Linked DNA regions of Caenorhabditis elegans. The protein of the gene in region 3 interacts with the protein of the main gene of each other region in a biochemical or structural test. Each region holds a gene or a part of one and is shown on either strand. Other genes may lie near its edges.

Region 1 (5,197 bases), on a different chromosome or scaffold from region 3:
TGAAATCAAACCGAAAGACGCCATTCGCTGCAGAGAATGCGGATATCGTATTCTATACAAGAAAAGATGCAGAAAGTGTAAGTTTTAAATTGTATAGAAAACAAAAATTCATTTTTGAACTTTCAGTGATGGTGTACGACGCCCGCTAATGAACCTGGCTGAACCTGTATCATTTTGTTGAATTTTAAATTTCATACTTGATCTTCGTATTTTTCTCATTTCATCACTTTCAAAAGCGATGAATTTTTCGAATTTTAACCGTTAACAATAAATCGTCGTTCTGCTTAATGACAGGTGTTCTGCATTCTAAGCACACAAATTAAGGACAAGAGCACCCGTGCGCCTGTGAATCTCCATAGCAACCAATGCTTTTCAACGCAACTCAGGCATTTGCTTGTTCTTGTCTAGTTCCACTTATTTTATAAAATGCGACCAAATTTACTATGGGTCGACAAAATTTTAGACGAAAACAATGAAGCTGGGTGAGTTGTTTAAAATTTCAAAATATTTCTTTCATTTTCAAAAACAAATGACACTGAAAGATAAAAAGACGAAAAGAGAATAGAGAAAATAGAGAAATTGTTCCTGAATTAGCTGCTGTGTGAGTGTGATCGATCTGATGCTGACGGTCGAAGTTTTAGTTTCTTATTTTCCGAAACGAAGGAAATTTGGCTTGCGGGATTCACGATCGAAGTTGTCGAATGAGCGTCCGAATCTGAAGAAATAATTTGATAATATTATAATTTTTGTTTTTAACATACCTCAAGAAGTTAGGATCTGCAGATCGTTTTCCGAATCTCAAGAAATTTGGATCAGCAGCGGCTTTTCCAAATCTCAAGAAGTTAGGGTCACTTCGACCTGAAAATGATTATCATTTAGAATCTTGATTATTTTCTATTTTGTTCCCTAACTGACTATCTTTATGAGAGGAAGCTTTGTTTGCAAATAAACTGAAATTTAGTTCGAATCGTTAGATCTGAAATGTTCTTCAAATCCAATCCATTCAAATACTCACCGAAACGAAGGAAGTTCGGGTCTCCGCTAGCCTTTCCGAATCGCAAGAAGTTTGGTTGAGATCGTCCGAATCGAAGGAAGTTCGGGTCTGAACCGGCTTTCTTTCCCAGCGACTTTACAGCTAAAAGAGCACCAAGTTGTGCTCTTTTTTATCAGAAAAAGGTTAGACTTACCTGCTGATCGCCCATATCTCATAAAGTTTGGCTTTCTCTTTTCCATCTTTTGCAGTGCCACCTCGGCATCACCATCGCAGTTTTCACCTGAAAATGAGGAAATATTATGAAAATTCATCAGATACCTTGGCAGGAAGGCGTTGCTTCAGACGAGCTTGCATGCCTTATGCCTGCCCGCCTATCTCTTATTTTGTACATTTAGGCGCAAAGTCTTGATTTACGCACAAGGTTCAACGAACACCCGTGCAGGCATGAGGCAGGCGAGACAGGCCTTTTTGTGATTACATAGCGGGTTTTCTAACGACCAAATATTCTAACAAAGACCCTAATTATAGAGTTAGAATATGTTTTCAGTTGATCTTAAGTTAAATTTTGAAATCAATCTAATTAAATGTTATAACCATGATTTTCCCCGTATTTGGAAGTTTTTTAAATCATTATCTAAATAACCTTATCAATTGTAGGCAATATTTTTTAAATGAATAGTATACTAAACCCTTCAATGAAATCAAAAGGAACAAACCTATAAAGTTCATCACTTCATTTTGCTCCATGGTGGAGAGCATCGAGAAGACCGTACAAAAGTCTGAAGTGGCTCCCGGTGTGCAACATTCTGCCGACACCTGAATAATAATTATAATTTTGAAATTATTAAATCAAGAAAGAAACCTTATAAGTAGCTGCCACAAGGAGTAATAACCCTACTTGGTAGAGCAGAGTCATGATAAAGTGAAGAAAACCAATGAAGATGTGAGCTATTTATAAGCCTTCTTTGCAAGTACCGTATCCAATCTTGAACCCCCCATGATGAGTATGAGTAGGATGATGATGATATTTACCACAAATAATTAATTTGATTTTAATATTCATATTGTATTTCTTGCATCTGGGGTCCGTAAGACGTGCTTGACGAGGACTAATTCCATTATGTTTTATACATCCAAAACGGGACACATTCTATGGATTGGAATTTCAGGAAGATGATGACGATGAAAAAGATTTCAAGAAAATTAGGCTTCCATGGGGAACAGTTTTTTTTTTTGGGTTTTTAGGAATTCCTTCAAAAATTGTGAACAATTAAATAGCTAGATTATCATTTTACCACATATTTTTTAAGAACCGGAAAACCTCAATTATAATTTAAAACGTATCATTTGAAATAGAAATTAATTTCCAGAGTTTGCATTTATGATCTCGCATTCAAACCAGATGGCTCTGAACTTTTGTTGGCTGCAGATAACAAAGTTTACTTGTTTGATGTTAATGAAGGTGGTCAAATGCAAACTTTGAAAGGTAAGTACGTTTTAAAATTATTTAGAGTAAGAATTCATTGAGCCCTTCTCTAACTCTAAATCAACTGAATTTCAGGACACAAAGATCTAGTATACACAGTCGCATGGTCACATAATGGCGAACTATTTGCATCAGGTGGTGCTGATAAATTGGTAATTTTGTGGAATGAGAAACACGAGGGAACTTTGAGATACAGGTTGGAATTTTTCCGAACAGACTGAGAATCTGGCTATTGCCATATTTTTTTAGCAAATTGTAGTTTTACAATTTTTGTTGAAAATTCAAAATTCGTAATACGAAATTGCAAAAATGTAATTATAAATTTCAGTCACACAGACGTAATCCAATGTATGATGTTCAATCCATGCAATCAAATTCTATTAACTTGTGCATTGAATGAGTTTGGATTATGGTCCACTGCTGATAAAAATGTGATAAAACAAAGAAGTGTAGTGAGATGTTGTAGTTGTGCATGGAATACAGATGGTACCATATTTGCAATAGGTCATGGAGATGGTACAATCACACTGAGAAAGGGAACTAATGCGGTAAGAAAATATTAATATCATTTCAATTTCAGAAAATGTACATATTTTACCGCAAATATTAGTTTAAAAAACGATATTTAAAATAGTTAATACATTAATTTAAAGACCGAGGAACCGTCAATAATAATTCAACGTGATAATGAACCAATTTGGGGTATTGCATTCTCATCAAATCGCACATTTGCATCAAGAGATTCACAAGGAAATCCAATGGGTATTGATGAAATAATGGCTGTAATTGATTGGAATAAGACACTTTCTTTTTATTCACTTGATGGAACGTTTATTGAATCAAAGAATTTGGAATTTGAACCGCATTGTATCAGTTATTGTTTAAATGGAGAATATTTATTGATTGGTGGATCGGATAAGATTCTAAAAATATACACAAGGAAAGGTCAGTTTTGAAAAAGGGAATAATTTTTTAATTTACAGGGAAAGCATTTCAGATCTCAATTAGACTTTTTTTTAATGAAACCTACGTTATTTGAAAGAGGAACTTCACACTAGGTCTCTGCAAAAAATTTAGCACTGAAACATTTTTCATATTTTAATTTTATTTTAATTTTTAATTCATATTTTAATTTTATTTATTTACTTTTTTAAAAATTCTTTTTGACTGAACCTCTTTCTATAATAGTGAACGTACTCCACTGCTGCTAAAGTAAGTTTTTTGCAGGAACTTAGTTTGGAGGCCCTTTTTCAAATAAACTAGGTTTCTTTCAGATGTCAAATCGTGACCTGAAATAATTGCCTTTAGTAAGTAGTTGTAGTAGGGAATTGAAAAATTAATTCCCACAATATTGAATGATCGACTGTTGAAAATAAATTTATAGGAGTACTTCTCGGAACAGTTGCTCAAATGGATCATTGGATTTGGTCAGTGACAGTACGTCCAAATTCTCAAACTGTTGCCATGGGATGTGTTGATGGAACTATAGCATGCTATAATTTGGTATTCTCAACGGTTCATTGCGTTGATCACGCAAGATATGCAAATCGGTTAGTTTCGTTTTTGATAAATGAAAAAGGTTTCACATCTTTTTGGCAATTGACGAAAATCACCTGATCTTTTTTCCAGAAAATCAATGACGGATGTATTTGTTCAAAATCTGGAGTATCGTACAAGTTCCAATATTTGTTGTCATGATCTTGTCAAGAAAATGTCACTTTATGACACAAAGTTGGCTGTTCAGCTTTCTGACAAAATTCAAATATATAAGCAAACTGGAGGTGTGTCTAAAAATGAAAGGAGAAAGCAGCTCAAGTACACATTACAAGACACTATTCGGAAGGATTTGTCATTTTCATTAATGGTGAGTTGAGGAAATTCTTTGATGATTTCAGTTTTCATAGTTGATTTTAAATAGTGTTATATCTACCATGGGGATTTTAGATCTGATTTCTTGAAAGTTTCCTCTAAAATGGATACATTCTAGTTAAGAACTTGATGAAGAACTTTGAAAAATCTTTTGATCAAAAAAAATTATAGGTTTGTTTCAAATATGGAAAAATGTGGATCAAGGTTCGGTAAGACTCGAGAAGCATAGAAATTGAAACATTTGCAAATCATAATTAGCAAGCAAATAATTATGTATTATATTCAATCTATTTTTCAGGTAGTTACACACGGCCATCTGGTGGTTTGCAATGATGAAAAATTAGAGTGTTATGATTTTAAAGGAATCAAAAAAAGATCATGGAATATGAAGTCAATTGTCAGGTATTTAAGAGTGAGTAACCTTCGTTATTTTTTAAAGTTTAAAAGACAAGTTTGCGGGTTATAAACATTCAAAAAATACATTGAAAAATACATTTAAAAGTTGCCATAATTAGAAATGTGGTTTTTTAACCAAACAAACCTTGTTTGGTAACTGATCTATACGATTTTTATTGGGTTGTATTATAAGTTATTTTCGCCAGTTAGCTATAGCTAACTGGCGAGAATAACTTTCAAAGTTTTTGAAACTGCAAATATTTTTAATATTTATTTTAGTCAATCCTACATCATTAATTGTAACCAACAAACTTTTAGGTTCTCGGTGGTCCTGCTCATCGTGAAACTCTTGTACTAGGAACCACAGATGGCGGTGTATATAAAGTATTCATTGACAATGATTACCCAATTCTTTTGGATTCCCGAAAGACGGCTATCAAATGTATTGACAT
Region 2 (4,787 bases), on a different chromosome or scaffold from region 3:
GTGAAACTGTACTACATTCTAATTCAAATATGCCTAGAAAGGCTTGAAATCGTTCCAAAATTCAAGGTTTCAATAAAAAAAATGTTGTCAAAACGCCTTAGAGTACCTGAGCCTGAGCCCCTTTGGTCAAAACTTGGCAGGGCTCCAGCCGAAACTTGACCTAGATCTCCCCTTCCCCATCCGACATCAATTTCCTCCCGCAAACAATAGCTATTCTGGTCTCCCCGACAATTGTATTTTGATGCCCGGTGACATGTCAATACGCACTTCCGATACACTTTATTATACCTTTCTTGTTTACACGTGGTTTTGTTCTTTCTTTGATTCTGGAAATTGTTGTGCAAAAAGAAAATGCTGAAATTCCAGTCGACCCGGCGGTGGAGCCGAAGAGGATCATGCTCCGACAGAGTTTACTATGGAGATGGCTGTGAACTCGGAATCCAATCGTTCTGATTAATTTATCAACTATTTATTTTTCTCACCCATATCAATAAAACATATTTGTCAATGCTCATCGTTTATTTTTGGCTTTAATTTTGCATACGAAGAGTGTCGGGGCCGCACCGATGTCAAGGGAAGAGGACAGAGAAGGAAAGAAGGGAACAGAGAAAACGACAGACACAGAGGAAGAGAGAGAAAGAGAGAGAGAACAAATTGTGAGAATTTCAAATTTCAGATTGAGCTGAGCATCAGGTTTAACCAAAACGTGGCTTTTGGATTCCGTCAATGGTGCGCAGGAATCCTGACATGTCCTCGAAGCCTTCCAGCGGGGCACGACGTTCCTTGGCTGGGAGGAATCGTCTGAAAATTAGGCTTTGAGAGAGGGAACGAGGACTGTTGAAAAGGAGCCTACTCACTAGAGCGAAGAGATAGTGAAGAGATCAGGAGCCTAAGCCTAAGCCTAGGCCTAAGCCTGAACCTAAGCTTAGGCCCAAGCCTGAGCCTAAGCCTAAGCCTGAGCCTAATCCTAGGCAAGGGTGTCAAGTCCCGTGTTCCGTTTGCCCCGTTGTCCCGTTTTTTGGGTGTTTTCACGGGAACGGGACGTCCCGATGTCCCGTTTTTGTAATTTTTACGGGACATTGACACCCTTGATCCTAGGTCTAAGCCTGGGCCTGAGCCTAAGCCTAAGCCTAAATCTTGGTCTAAGCCTGAGCCTAAATCTAAGCCTAAGCCAAAACCTAAGCCTAAGCATAAGCCTAAGCCTAAGCATAAGCCTAAGCCTAAGCTTACGCCTAAGCCAAATAAGTTTAAAAAAACATTATAGTTAGGGCAACGCGACTCATTCAGCAAGTCATATTTATACATCGAAATCTCCAAGATCTAGTTCCCAACTCACTTGATAAATTCCAGCTCGGCGTTGCGAGCTTGACGAGCTTCCTGTGCCAGCTCTGCGGCTCCACCATCGGCAAACGCGGCAAGACGTGGCTCTACCGAGAAGCCATGCACGGCTGACAGCAACACAATTGCGACGATGAGAATAAGAAAACGCATGGTAGGGGGACCCTGGAAGTTTTTATTTTTTTTTTGGGTGAAACAGTGAAAAAGCCCAACGAAACTTAATCTAGGCTCGGAACTCTAAAAAGCTCAACGAAACCCCCAAAAAGCTCGGAACTCGATTGACTTTCTGCTGGCTGCACAGCTTTTATACTATTCAGCTTACCTATATGTGCTCCAAAACCAAACACGCAGGAAACAATTAGAAGGCGTGGTCCCTCTCCGTCTTCTCCAAGAATGTAACAAATCTCAATCAAGACGGGTGACAAGTCAAGAGAGAGAGAGAAGGTAATTGTTCATGAGCTCTTTGATGGGCAGTTGTTTTCGGGTGGAAGCAAGTATAATGCTACAAATAATGGAGGAGGATGATGATGACAATGCCATGATGACGAAGTTCCTGTTTGGTAATTCTGGAAGGTCGTATGGAGTCTATTTCAGTTGTGACATTGGTTTGGTTCCGGTACCATGGCCAAGTGATATCATTTCAATATTTGTGTAGGCCAGATTTTCGATTCCTATTCCGGTGACCGGACCGGATCAAACTGTCACGCGATCTGTTCACTTTACTAAGAACCCATTATTCCTTAATCACGTGGATCGGCCGGTATCACACCTAGATGATATCATTCAATCGTTGTGTCACGCAATATGGGAAACCCATTAAGTTTTCCAGTGTAATTTGATTTTTTCTCGGAATATGTAACTTTAATTTTGGTGGAACAGGCACTTCCAGACCTTCTTTCGGCTAGATCCAAGTCCCGGTTGCTTTACCGGATCGGAGTGTCACGCGATCTGAAAATCTTAAAATTGAGACTTTTGGCAATGGATTTTTGTGCAAAAGAGCATGCCAGTCTGATCGAACTCGGAACTTCAGAGTCAATCCAGCTTGATTTAGCAGACACACTAAACACGCCAGTGTGGTCCATAGAAATGTGGTCTACGAGAATGGCGGGAGTTCAGATGCGGCGGACTTTTCAACTAATTTCGCATGTTTGAGAGTACACACAACTAAATCTGATTAAATCTGATGATCACATTTTTGTAGTTCCGCCGGGTCTTCTTATAATATACAGGTAATTTTGCTAAGAATCTTAGTTCTATGTACCCCTCCAGCCATTCGTAACGTCGATCTAGTATTAATGGGGCATATCGTGCAGTGACTCGGTTCTGGTAACATGACCGGCTCTGATTGTCACGCGATCAGGAGCCTAGAAGTTTAATGCAAGTTTCAGGTAATTTAACTAGATGTTCCGGCCACACCGCCGGATTCAAGTGTCACGCGATCTGAAAGTTCCTTATAGGTTTTTTGTGCAAAAAGTTAAGCAGAAGCTTGTCACGCAAGTTGGGTTTTTGGCAGTTTTTCTGGAAAATTTAAAATGTGAACTTTTACTTGGCCGGAGTAAAATTAGGATAACTGGATTGAATATGGTTCAAGCCCTAAAAGTGTATAGTTATGGTCTTTATGTAGTTGAAAAGGTATAAATATCATTAAAACAAGCAAGTTTATCAACTTCCTACATAATCTTCCAAAAGTAGTCCACTACTTCCAATAAGAGCTTGGCCATCTGTCGTGGCGTAAACGAGGAATGTTTCAGTGGGCTTGTTCGCTGATAATTTGTGAATTTCTCGTTGATAAGACGTTGATTCACATCAATGATCACCACAATTATGGATCGGTAGATATTGCACTGAAATTTTGAATATTTAGGAAAAAAAAACAAAAAAATTGCTTCAGTGGGGACTAGAACCCTTTTTATTTTTTTAACCAAAAATGGTACTTTAATAAAATTTTAATAATTTTTAGACCATTTTCTACCCAAATACCCACCACATCTTCGGGCATATTATTGAACGGAGCCTCTCGCTCCACATGCTCCATGGCTTCACGTAAAACTGGCAGGTTTCGTAAAAGCACGTCACGTTGGTAATAGCAATACTTGAATTGGTGACCACATTTGCAAGCAATCACTTGTACAAAAAACTGAAGGAAAAAAATTGGAAAAAATTGGAAAAAAACCAACCTTTCTATCAAAAAATTCACAATTCTGGCTTGCCACGTGGCTCTGAAACCCCTTGTTGTCCCGAAATCGGCGTTGACATGTGGTACACACATATAAGCCCTGAAATTTAACAAAAATAAAGGAAAAACTCTGAAAAAAGAGCCCAACATATGCTCGTTCCTCCTGCTTCTCCTGGTAGCGCAAAAAGTACTTGTAGTTGAGAAGTAGGTGCCTGGAGTCTAGGAATAGGTGTTTCTGAAAACTTGATTTTTAAAAATAAAATAAATTGAATTTTTTGGAGTATTTTGAGTCAAAAAAAAACTAGAAAAAAGCTTACAAATTAGATGAGTTATGGAAGTTTGAAACTTTTCAAACAAGAATTCTGAGAAAATTTTGGGTCTCACGAAAACTTATTTCCTAACAAGTTTCTTCAGAAAATTTTCAGGCTAAAAAGCTTTAAATTTTTCAGATTCCCAGCTTTTCCAAATTTTAAAATACAAATTCCCAATGAAAACTCACATAATGCTGCTCAAAAAAGTGTCGGATACACTTCTCATTAGTTTCAAAAATGTACTTGCACACCGGATCCGGGCACATATGATCCCGGCCGTGTAAATGTGCCACGTACTCGTTACGTGACGACCAAGTACGATTGCAACAGTTGCAGATGTAAACTGGCTGAAATTTGGAGCAAAAATTTTTTCCTTGATTTATTTTTTCTAAATAAAAATTTCCCAACCTTCAAAAAATGTTTCTGCTGATCCCAAGCTTCTGTTTCAACAGATCCAGTTCCTTGTAAATGCTCCAAAGCAGTCTTATAGTCTGAAAACCGTACTCCACAGCAAAATAGTTGGCAGGATTGGTGCTCCAGGAGGTAATGGAATCTCGCATCAATGAGGTCCAAAAATAGTAGGCTACACGTGGAAAATGGACAGGGAATTACCTGAAAATCAAGAAAATTGCAAACAAATTTTCAAAATATCCAAGTGGCGCAGTGAGATTTTGGACAGCATATTAATCTCAACACCGTGGTTCGAATCCACCTAATGACATCACTAGTTTTACTAGATTTTATAAGTTTAACAAAAACATTTGAACGCACAAATTCAAAATCTGGTAGCTGAATCTGAAATTTTCCATCTAGAAATCCGTTATATGCATCCATATGGACAAATTGGTGCCATAGACGGGAGAGCTCCGAGCTGAGTATTTGGTGGCATTTCGGGCAAGTTTCACGCTGGAAAAAACGTTTTAAAAGTTAGGAGTTTGTCTACAATACCCCTAGAGTCATCC
Region 3 (7,169 bases):
CAAAAATTTTGAAACAATTTCCTCTTGTTCAGAAATCATCTGAAAAGTGAAAAATACGGAAGATCTTTGATTTATTGTGAACAAACAGCATTATAGAAAAAGTTCGAGCATTCTCTCGCAGTACTTAGCAGGCTTTCTCATCAAAAACACCAATAGCGTTTTTGTGTGGCTCCGGAAGAAAAGAGCATTCCTGGTTTTAATAAACTTTTCCTGGTTCTGATAAAAACCGAAAACAACGGGATTCTTAAAGGTGGAAAAATAACAGAAATCTGAAAATTTGCTTTTTTTAGATTCAATTTGACATGAAACTACCGAATTTTGTACTGAAAGGTTTTGAAATTTATTCGAAAAACATGAAATGGTGGTGTAAAATTTTGGAAAAAAAAGTTGTATCTTAGCCAAAATTAAAATTTTTTCAATTAAATAAAATCAGAACTTGAATAAGTAAGTTTCATTTAATTATTACCCTTTATGAAAATTTACTATAAAATCCAAAATTTTGATAAAATAATTGTTATTTAGTTTTGCTTAAAATTTTCTCAAAACAAAGTTAAGTTGGATCAAAGTTTTGGAAAAATCCGATTTTGCAGTAGATTAGATTGATTTTTTTTTAACTAAAATCAAAAAATCAAACATTTTCTTGTTTGGTTTTTGATTAAAAATTATAATTTTATCGTTAATTTTCTGTAAACTTTTATACAAAATTAACGATTTAATTGTTCAAAAAAATGGAAAAATTTTTCGATTTTCCGATTTTCCCTTTAAAAAATTGAAGAAAATCGGAATTTTTTACTTCAGATTTTCAAAAAACAAACATTTTAATTTATCGATTTTTCGAAAGTTTCCCTGTAAAAATCAAAAAATCGAAAAAATGTGTCGCAGGGGGTGATAATTTAATGAACCTTATTTCTTCAAGTTGGGACTTTTTTAATTGGCAAAATTGTGAAAAAACGAGATTTTAGCTCAAAAAACCCCTCATTTCTACAATTGTTTTTCGGAAAAAAAAATTTTCGAAAATTTTTGGTCTGAAAAATGGAAAGTCTCAAGGTCTCAGATTTTGGAACTCCACCTTTAAAAACACACAAAGTTCTGTTTTCTGATACCAGTTTTCTTTTGTTGATGTTGTTGTTGTGTTTCACTTCTCCATTTCATATCCGGCCCGTTCCTGCATTTCCGATGTTTATGGATATCCACCACAAGATGGCAGAGAGAAATGTTTAAAAAAACCGACCTGGGTGGCCGAAATAAATGGCGGTTGAAAAGACGAGTTCCGTCAAAACAAAGTCATATAAATTTTTTATTCTTGTGGTGATGCTACTAGTTTGGTTTAATCGTATTTGGTTGTCTCTGGTGAGCTCATTCACCGCTTCTTTTGTTTTTTCAAAATTATTTTTCATGAACTGCTCCCACACATTTATTAATTTTTGCTATTTCCTATAGCTTTTGACTGTTTGCGAGATTCTTTCGAATTTGGTGCAATTCTTAACAGTAAACCAAAAATTATGGTCATTGCAATGGAGATGTGGTCAGTGCAACTGATAAAGTCAATCAAAATTTTTGTCAGTGCAAATGATATAGTGGTCAGTGCAACTGAAAATTTTGTCAGTGCAATTGGCATATATGATAGCCATTGGATAAAGTCATTCGAAGTTTTGGTCAGTGCAACTAAACATCTTGTCAGTGCAAGTTGTGTATTTTTAGGCAGCATAACATAGATGATTGTGGCTGGTAAAATTGAAAAAATATTATTAAAAAAAAAAACTAAGTTATTCCTGAAATTCGGTGCACATATTGCTCCCAAACCCCTGTCTTTCAACGTTATTGTTTTTATAAAGTTTCAATTTAAAAGGGATATGGGAGTAGACACCGGGGCGGGAGAATGAGTTAAATGAGATGATAGTTTTCACTTTTCAATTTTCATTTCTTCTCTATAATTCGCAGTAATTACCTCTCATTTTTTGATATTTTTCTCTTATAACCGACCGACTAACCACTAGTCTGGATGCTCAATTTCTTGGAATATTCGTTTATTTATTTCCCTTCTGTGTGAGAAAATTGGCGTTTCACATATTTTTTTTCTTGCCTTCAATTTCATCTCCCGTATTTTTGTATTTTCGTCGGTATTTTCAGAACTTTCAACAAATGGGATCGGTGAATGAATCATGTGACAATTATGTAGAAATTTTCAACAAAATCAACTACTTTTTTCGAGATGATCAGGTTATCAATGGGACTGAGTATTCACCAAAAGAGGTTGGTATTCAAAAAGACAATTTTTTTAAATTTTGTCAGTGCAAATCAAAACTTTGTCAGTGCAAATTTAAAAATGGTCAGTGCTTACTCAAAACTTAACATTCAAATTTTCAGTTCGGATATTTCATCACATTCGCATACATGCTGATCATTTTGTTTGGAGCAATAGGCAACTTTTTGACAATCATCGTAGTCATACTCAACCCAGCAATGCGGACAACAAGGAACTTTTTCATTTTAAACTTGGCGCTGTCGGACTTTTTTGTGAGTATTTTTTGCTGGAATTATTGAAGATAGGAAACAATTTGAAAAATTCCAGGTTTGTATTGTGACAGCGCCGACCACATTATACACGGTTCTCTACATGTTCTGGCCATTTAGCAGGACATTATGCAAAATTGCGGGTTCGCTGCAAGGCTTTAACATATTTTTATCCACATTCTCGATAGCCTCAATTGCTGTTGATAGGTATGTACATATATTTTTTTTAATTAAAAATGCCATTTAACAAGTTTTCAGATACGTGCTCATTATCTTCCCAACGAAGCGAGAACGACAACAAAATCTGTCGTTCTGCTTTTTTATCATGATCTGGGTGATTTCCCTAATCCTTGCGGTTCCACTTCTGCAGGCTTCTGATTTGACACCGGTTTTCGTTGAGCCATCGTGCGATTTGGCTCTTTACATTTGCCATGAGCAAAATGAGATATGGGAAAAGGTTGGTTCTTAGTGGTCTAAATGAACTATAAACTAAACAATAAGCTTCATGTATCAGCTCCTATTAATGAAATATAAAAACTGTCTATGTACTGTAGTATTACTGTAATAATTAGGTTAATATGGTGTGACGATAGTCAAGGGAACTTGCTTAATACTTTCTATGGAAATTTGCTTTGAGTAATAGAAAATGTGTCATAATTTCCAAATACATAAAAGAGTTGAAAAAAAATTTAAAAAAATTGTTCCGATTTTTTAAAATTTTCAAATAAAATTTCAAATGACTTTTTAAAGTTTTCAGTTTTCTGAAAACATGTTAACTGGTATTATATTAACCAGTATGTATGGAAATATAAAAACAAATATAAAAAAAGACAATTTCGGCTAAACTCCAATTTTTCCAGATGATCATATCAAAAGGCACCTACACGTTGGCAGTTCTTATCACCCAATACGCATTTCCCCTGTTTTCACTAGTCTTCGCCTACTCCCGGATAGCACATCGGATGAAGCTGAGATTTGCAAACCGAAATCAGAATGTGACAACAAATACCAATACGAGTCAGAGGAGACGGTAAGAAATTTTTGAAATGTTTTTGTTTCGAAAAATGTAAAGTTCCACGTTTTAAGTGGCATTCGAAATTTTTGAAACACTGTTCTAACAGAACTTTTCTGAGAAAATCTGACCCACCTGGGCCGAATACCACAATTTAAAAATTGAAACAATTTTCTAAATTTGATGTAATTTTTTTTGAAAATTGGGAAAATCTCTATTTGTGCAAAAAAAATAAATAGCCCAATAAAAATTTTTAGAGCATTTTTTGAAATGTTTTACTATGATATTTGACACCATAGGAGTTGTTTTTATCAATTTACCCATTTGGGCTATTCCACCTTTACTACTGTGAAACTTCGAGAAAAATGTGCTCAAAATTTGTTATTTTATCTGCGGTCATAAAATTTTCAAAAAATGTTAGTAAAAAACTTTAATTTTTTGTAAAAAAATCATGTGAATGAACTTATACTAAACTGATATCTACAACATTTTGAAATTAACCCAATCACCCAATTTCAAGTTATTTTTGAAACTTTCGGATCATTACTTGCCTGGAGAACTAAATTTTGAGCTTATTCAAAAATCAAACAACTTAAAATTTTTCACATAATTTATTGTACAAAATAGATGTTCTTCGAAATAAAATTATTTTAAAAAAAGTTCCAGATCCGTCGTGGAACGTCAACGACGCACCCACCTCCTTCTTGTATGCGTTGTAGCTGTATTCGCCGTCGCCTGGCTGCCACTCAACGTTTTTCATATCGTAGGAGCATTTTCGTTTTATGTTCCACTAAAACCATAACAAATTTCAGTTCAACACATTCGAGCTGGTCAACAGTTTTTCCGTTACAACGTTCAGCATCTGTCACTGCTTGGCAATGTGCTCGGCGTGCTTGAATCCGCTGATCTATGCATTTTTCAATCATAACTTCCGGATCGAATTTATGCATCTTTTCGATAGAGTTGGGTTGAGGTTTGTGAACATTTTAAGTTAATTTTGGTAACACTTATGTGTAAAGTTGGTGGAAAATTTTTGCAATTTTGTCATTTTGCACAAAAACGTCCAGTACCAGGTCCCGTCACGATACATTTTTGTTAAATACAAAAGTATGTGCGCCTTTGAGGAAGGAGTACTGTAATTTTCAAACTTTATTATCGCTAAAATTTCATGAATTTTTCATAGACATACGGTTTTCTCAAATTTTCAATTATTAATTTGATGATTTTTTTTTTCGTAAAATTAGTTGATAAAAACAATGAGTTGTAAACTACAGTACTCTTTAAAGGCTCACCTTCCAATTTTTGAAAAAAAATTGCCGTGTTAAGACCCTGCCGGCAGGTGGTCTAAACACAGTGGGGCTATTACACTGTGGAAAACCTTTCCTCAAGAGTTATATAAATATAATAGGAACTACCAAGGTACTGTAATAGTTTGGTAGAAGAACTGTTGCGGTGTGTGGCCTGGTTTACAGCTTTTGTATCAAAGTCGTGATACACCCAGAAAATAAAAGCGATCTACCAATTAAGCGCCCTAAGTTGACACGCATAATAAAGAGGTCCTTTATTATGGGAACATAAAATTTTGAGAATGCGTATTGCACAACATATTTGACGCGCAAAATATCTCGTAGCGAAAACTACAGTAATTCTTTAAATGACTACTGTAGTGCTTGTGTCGATTTACGGGCTCAATTTTTGAAGTGATTTTCTTTTTGAATAGGGACATCAATATTCCATTTTTTTTCGTTTTTGTTATATTTTCCTCCTTAATTTATATATTATATTGATAAACAAATGATTTTAATTCAATTTGAGAATCAAGCTCCTAAATCGACCTACAGTAGCCATTTAAATAATTACTGTAGTTTTCGCTGCGAGATATTTTGCGCGTCAAATATGTTGTGCAGTACGCATTCTCACAATTTTGTGTTCCCGTAATACCATTGATCTACAAAAATTGCGGAGATTAGGCTCACGGAATAATGAGTAAATTTGAAGAAAATTATAGATGGTTGTACTGTAGAAAAATCTGAAAATTCAAAAAAATATCGCAATATTCCAGATCCCTTCGAGTCGTGATATTTGGAGAGCAAGAGTCGCTCAAGAAAAGTATGCGCACTGAATTCAGAAGCCGTGGAGGCTGTAAGACGGTAACTACTGCAGAGCCAGCAACCTTCCAGAGAATGAATGAAAGTATGATTCTGAGTGCGATGGAGCAAGATGAGCAGCTGTGATTGTTTAAGAAAACATGTAGGGTAACAATAAATCATTCCGTCATTGTTTCAAAACGCTTCTAAAACCTAATTTATTTGATTTTGATGTTCTTTTTTTTTACTTTTTTTTTCGTTTCCGTCAGTATGTTGCTGATTCAGCCTATTATGTTTCACATATGAAGATTTGTAAATGAAGCTTGTCATAAGAGAGATGATTGGTCAAATTTGAGAGAAGTGACCGAAGATTAGGGAGGGGACTGACTGAAATGCGCAGTCATGCGGAAAATTTAGGGTATTTTTGAGTTGAACAACCATATTGTTCGGCAGCTTTTCAAAACAAATGGCGTCATGGATATGGAAGTTTTTGGTTCTTCGTTTCGAGACAGGAAAGTGAATTTTAATGAACTACTCATCGGAAACTGGTCAAAAAAGCTTGTTTTTTTTAAGGGAGGGGGGATTTGATGTAAGAATGATAACAAAAATCTTTTGGGACAAAAGTATATACTCACGTGGAGTCAGAATATCTCATTTCGGTTTGATCTTCAAAAAATGCGGGAGTTGAGACGCAGACATCTCAATTGATTTTGCATGGTTAAAAGTGTGCTGACGTCACAATTTTTGCAAAAATATTCCCGCATTTTTTGTAGATCAACCTGTGATGAGACAGCCTGACGCCACGTGTATACTGTGTACACTAAAAAATGCAAACGCTACGTTTGAGTATTATATGCAAATGTAATTTTTAACATGCTTGCAGGGGGTTTTCAAAAATGAAAATTCTTTATAGCTTTTTTAAAATTGTGTTTTTCTTATAAAAATCCAATTTTTTAGATCGAGTGGGGGCAAACTTTTTGTTCTAAAAAAATATATTTTGAAGATGTTCCAAAAAGGTGGTCACAAGCAATCGACTCCAGCCTCTCCCCGGCTAGGATTTGGTTATAATTCAATTATGACCTCTGAACTCTTTTCTATAGTTGAAGGGGTACTGAGTTGAACGTTAGTGGGGGACAATGCCATGGTACTGTAGTGGTACTGTTCAAGTACTGTAGGACTACTGTAGGGTTACTGTAGTTTGGGAAAATTCGAATTTTTAGCTTTTGAAACGGTACTGGGTTGGGAGTTGGTGGAGGATTAAGACAATGAACTGTAGTGGTACTGTAGGGGAACTGTAGAATTGATGTAGGGTTACTGTATCACCAGGAATGCTGTACACATTTTCTAACTCCGCAGTGACTCATTACTCTTCTTTCCTAGAATTAAAATTACCACGATTCTGTGAAGAAAATGCCTGACTGAAGGATTTTTTTAAATTTTAAATAATTTATTGTCGAATACCTAAACTTATTTCAAAAAACATCATAATATCTATGCTGAAAGCTTTCTTAAATCTATTGATGAAAACAATTTCGGCTTAAAAAAAATGCAGCTCG
Region 4 (4,360 bases), on a different chromosome or scaffold from region 3:
AATGATGCAACTTATCACAGAAGTAGAAATACAATTTTTTGGGCAGAAATATTTTTAGAAAAATTGTTATAGCAGTATTTAGCCACTTATAGACAAATCTCTTCTATAAATAATGTTTAAAAATCACACCAAAGAACTCTTGAATATTGGCCAAAGTCCAAGTAGTTCGTCTCATATTTCTAGACGTTTGTGTTTTGAATTAAATATTTAACTTTCCAGATTCCCACGCCCACTCAATTTCAATATTTTTAAAATATTTATTTTTGGTTTTAGATTTTGAAAATAAGCTTAAAAATATAATTAATCTGAAAGGTCCTGTATTTTGGTCTTTACCTATATTTTTTTAAATAGAAAAAAGCTTATTGCGATTTGAACCATTTGTCTGATGAATACCTTGTTTACTCGTTTTTAGAGCTTTTAAAGCTCATTTTCTTTGTTTGGATGAGATTAATGTACAACGAGATCCTAAAACGACAATATCTATTACGTAATTTACGAATATTGAGTTAACTAAAAATGAATAAGGCTGAAAATAATGTGATAATTTTTTAGGGATAACAGAAATTTGTGCAGAGATCGAAGCAGGAGTTTGTGGCCCCGAATGCTGAATTGACCAAACTAAGAATTTAACGTTAAAATGTATTGTTGAAAAACACTAGAATTTTTGCTCAAAATATGTTATTTTCTGTTTTCGCGGTAATCATAAACCGAATTGGATATTTTATTTTTTCGAAACTTTTGCAATCGGCTCGGCTTTGGTAGGAAACTATGTATAAGTACTACTTTATCTTCAATTCTAGGGAATTCTCGGTTTTATTGTGAATAAAATCCCTAGGACTGATTTTTTCCATGTATTAATTGCCATACGAAATTTCTCGGAAAATGTTCTTAAAAATCATCAAAAACCAAAATTCAACGATCATTACACTTTCCACAAAACTACAAAATTGGCACCCAAAACTCAATTTCAGGAGCTTTATTACTATATAGTCGGCACATTATGTTAGAAATTCAAGAGATAGACGCCTCAATGGATTTATTACGGCAACTACGATCCTTGAAACAGTATCCATAATGTTTGTTCAACCCCTGCAGGGAAGACACCAACTGTTTCATTAATGTAATCCTGACTGATTTTCCCGGATTCTACCATTACAGTTGCAGGGTACAATTGCACAATTGGAAAATTCTTAAATATAAGGGCACTCATAAACTTAATAAAAAGTCAAATGTCAAACTGAAAGCTGTTTTTATTTGTTCAACAGAAAAAGAGGAAGTGAGATAGAAAAAGAGAGAGAGAGTAAAAAGAACATTGTTTCTGCAGCGTTTTCAAAGAGAAAAGGAGAGGATAGATATTTCTTCGGAATTGGAATTGTGGAGTGTCTGGAACATCATTTTTGTATAAAGTTACATTGAGAGGAAAGAGAGAAAATGTTGTGTCATGTTGTTCGTTCGTTCGAGCAGCAACCGTTTATCCAAATCGGAGAGGACGAGGACCGAGACCACGTTTCATTGATCTGAAATTTTAAAATTAGTTTACTTTTTTCTGAATCGCAACTAATTTATTCTAGCTGAATGCTCGTATTTCGGTAAATTATTAATTATAGCGATTTGCAACTTATTCTACAGTAAGACTTGACTTAATAAAGATGTCTATCAGAAAATAATTAAACTGGACCTACCCATGATCGTCTTCGGCAACATAGTAAACTCTGTCACTGCCGGGTCCGAATTGCTCCAAATATGCGTTCACTGAAAAAGATTAATGATTAATCTAAATCTTTAACTTTGACAAAACTTACAAACGCGGAGCGCATCTTCCTGATCGATATAAGGCGCTGCGAGGACCCACGCGAGAAGACACGAAAGCAAGATGAACAGCCGCATCGTCTGAAAATGACTTTTTGGATTTTGGAGCAATGAGAGGGTGGGAGATCAAACGTTGAATACACAATCAAATCTTAAATAGTGTACATAGTCATCGTTGTAAATTTGCATTTGTTAATGAGATTCTTGCGAAGCATGATGGGATGGGGTGGAAAAAAAGAAGTTTTGAGATAAATAGTAAGACGGAAGTGATCACTACGGTAGCTTTGAAACAAGAAATGAATATTTCAGTGTATCCCCTTCCAAATCTACTGGACTACTCACAAAAATGACCTTTGCTCCAAGAGCAACCACCCATCCTAGAACCTAGGCAAATGATACATCGAAATGTTTTTTCAGGTAAGATGATGTTATATGTATACGTGATTCCGGTAAAAGTTTTTTCTGGGAACTATGAGGAGGGTGTATGTGGTGGGAAAACAGGATAGCCCAATATTTATTGGGCACGTCATACTCGTTGCAGAGCATAGTTGAGGTGGCCGGAAATCGCGTTAAAATATGCTATGACTTGAAAACAACAATGGTCCTATTTTGGAAGATGTAATTTTACGCGATAATTCAACGAGAGATTGTAATAAAGACGTGTAGATTTTGAGTAACCATAAAATATGAAAAATTCATGAGTATTACAAATATGCAGTTTTTGGAATAAAGAAAATAGCTGACTTGAAAAATCTACTGCTCGATGACTTTGTCTAATTACGGTCTTGAAAGAAAGCAAACAGCGTCTTGTGCATTATGAGGTTTTTTGAATAAAAGGAAGTGTGCTCCGCTTAATTAAGATAAACATGTTTCAGTGTAAGTAGTTGGTCCCGACTGTAAACGCATCAGAAAACTTTAAGGTGAGAACAGTTGAGTTTCAATGCACGTATTTGATACAGCCAAAAGTTATTAAACTTTAATTGAAAAGTAGAGATTTCCACAACACATCTAACCTTTTAAAAATGTGACAGTTGATTTGAAAAAAAAATCTAGGACTGAACTAGGAAAACTGTTGACATACGTTCTTCTTTCTTTTCCCCTTTAATACCACATTGTTTTGGTCAAAAAAGTCTTTAAGATTTTTAATATTCGCAGACATCTCAACCAAATGAGGAACAGTCACAATGAAGACCACCTCAAAATGCATGTAGGTTCTTCTTTTTTCTGATATTTTTGCACAGCCTTCCCCAAAACATTCACAAACACATAAAAAACACCAACCAATTGATATACCCACAAAAGTGATGTGAAGAGCAAGTGGGAGTAAGATAAATGTGATGAACGATGAGGTGGAGGGTAAAAGTGATGAGAAAATGTAGTCTTACAAATATTCAAAAAAGTTGGTAGTTTTTGATACGATAAGTTTTCGATGAAAACCAAAAAAAGAAATAAAGAAGCTTTATGAGCCGAAAAAAGTAGAGATTTCCACGATTATCGAGTTACTTCGGGGCACATTTCGTCATCATCGAAGAAGAGGAAACAAATTTTCGTTGGCTCATTGACTTTCAAAGTTAAACTTCTTTAGAGAGTTTAGCGAGGCATAAAAACTTGAAAATTTTGTAATTTTTGGACTCGGTTTCAAACTAAAGAATGGAAAAACTTTTCCCTGTCCAAATGTCAAAGTCGCATAAAAATTGTCATTGGTAACAAAAAAAGTAGTGTTTTAGTGGGTCAGTAGATCAAATTTAACATTTGGCAGGTGAAAGAATTTGTAGAGGTACACGTCAAATGCTGGTTTTTGACGCGTTTTCTCCAAGATCTCTTATATTTTGGTTTTGGAAATATCAGCATTTTACGAAGTGGCCACCTAACAATTACAGACGAGTATTCACATCACCATATGTATTTGTGATTTTTCGAGGAATGATATCGAAGACTGAAAATTAGAATAAAATTCCAGGATAAGAAGGCTTTGGCTTAAAATCAGAGCTTAAGCTATTAATTTGTCATTTTATTATTTACGAAACAGCGTTCAGACAGAAATGTCATAGACTCCACAGTAATAAGACAGACGAGTGATCAAAGTTCCGTACAATTTACGAGAGTAATTTCTTACGACGTAACTATCAAGAAATAGGTGACTGCGTTTACATATTTCCGGTTTTTTTGTGAACCTAAAATGATTTTCAAAAAAAAATTCTACTGCGGCAAACACAGACATTCGGACAAGAGAAAGGTACATAGACATGAAAGCGTACCTGCCTACCATGAAAGTTATAGGCCAAACTTAAGGTTACGGTATTTCTAAAAAAAAGTAAGGCAGCGGAAAATTTTTGCCGAAATCGCCCTTTGCCGTCCACCCTCGGATCTAACAATATACAAATAGCCAGCTCGTGTAGTTTGCCAAAATTTAATTCGAAATTTGTTTTAAAAAAATGCTTACAATGTTAAATTGGAAAACCGAGTTTCCAAAATTTTGCTACACTGGGCATAGCGCAGAAATTTTACGCAAATATAATAAAAGTTGTCCTAGAACAAATGGACAAAAATT

What was found.
Region 1: of the proteins of npr-11 (region 3) and flp-1, one has a biochemical effect on the other in vitro, tested with the Caenorhabditis elegans proteins (one study listed by BioGRID).
Region 2: of the proteins of npr-11 (region 3) and flp-33, one has a biochemical effect on the other in vitro, tested with the Caenorhabditis elegans proteins (one study listed by BioGRID).
Region 4: of the proteins of npr-11 (region 3) and flp-21, one has a biochemical effect on the other in vitro, tested with the Caenorhabditis elegans proteins (2 studies listed by BioGRID, with this or other methods).

Annotation. Positions count from the first base shown.
Region 1 is NC_003282.8:9,141,426-9,146,622, reverse strand, and holds flp-1 (SQPNFLRF-amide), read right to left. Parts: upstream 1,919-5,197; 5' UTR 1,911-1,918; coding exon 1,857-1,910; intron 1,811-1,856; coding exon 1,711-1,810; intron 1,275-1,710; coding exon 1,188-1,274; intron 1,136-1,187; coding exon 1,016-1,135; intron 859-1,015; coding exon 762-858; intron 716-761; coding exon 646-715; 3' UTR 501-645; downstream 1-500. Other genes in the region: rpb-12 (DNA-directed RNA polymerases I, II, and III subunit RPABC4), read left to right, coding at 1-77, 127-149; daf-10 (Intraflagellar transport protein 122 homolog), read left to right, coding at 427-482, 2,365-2,480, 2,556-2,676, 2,809-3,028, 3,134-3,425, 3,865-4,030, 4,110-4,344, 4,648-4,761 and 1 more. UniProt on the Caenorhabditis elegans protein: Together with flp-18, plays a homeostatic role by acting on the GABAergic neural transmission at neuromuscular junctions to prevent overexcitation of the locomotor circuit. DPNFLRF-amide: Inhibits the activity of dissected pharyngeal myogenic muscle system.
Region 2 is NC_003279.8:12,623,734-12,628,520, forward strand, and holds flp-33 (FMRF-Like Peptide), read right to left. Parts: upstream 1,506-4,787; 5' UTR 1,492-1,505; coding exon 1,337-1,491; intron 802-1,336; coding exon 696-801; 3' UTR 501-695; downstream 1-500. Other genes in the region: ntr-1 (G-protein coupled receptors family 1 profile domain-containing protein), read left to right, coding at 367-457; T07D10.3 (C2H2-type domain-containing protein), read right to left, coding at 3,009-3,182, 3,323-3,475, 3,516-3,614, 3,663-3,749, 4,014-4,172, 4,234-4,437, 4,597-4,731.
Region 3 is NC_003284.9:1,250,589-1,257,757, reverse strand, and holds npr-11 (Putative neuropeptide Y receptor 11), read left to right. Parts: upstream 1-2,110; 5' UTR 2,111-2,142; coding exon 2,143-2,253; intron 2,254-2,367; coding exon 2,368-2,517; intron 2,518-2,572; coding exon 2,573-2,721; intron 2,722-2,772; coding exon 2,773-2,971; intron 2,972-3,374; coding exon 3,375-3,544; intron 3,545-4,192; coding exon 4,193-4,289; intron 4,290-4,338; coding exon 4,339-4,499; intron 4,500-5,588; coding exon 5,589-5,760; 3' UTR 5,761-5,943; downstream 5,944-7,169. UniProt on the Caenorhabditis elegans protein: Could be a receptor for neuropeptide Y and peptide YY.
Region 4 is NC_003283.11:7,790,897-7,795,256, reverse strand, and holds flp-21 (GLGPRPLRF-amide), read right to left. Parts: upstream 1,891-4,360; 5' UTR 1,888-1,890; coding exon 1,803-1,887; intron 1,753-1,802; coding exon 1,683-1,752; intron 1,518-1,682; coding exon 1,472-1,517; 3' UTR 1,232-1,471; downstream 1-1,231. UniProt on the Caenorhabditis elegans protein: FMRFamide-like neuropeptide. Involved in modulating locomotion quiescence during the sleep-like state called lethargus which occurs during molting between larval and adult stages, acting via the G-protein coupled receptor npr-1.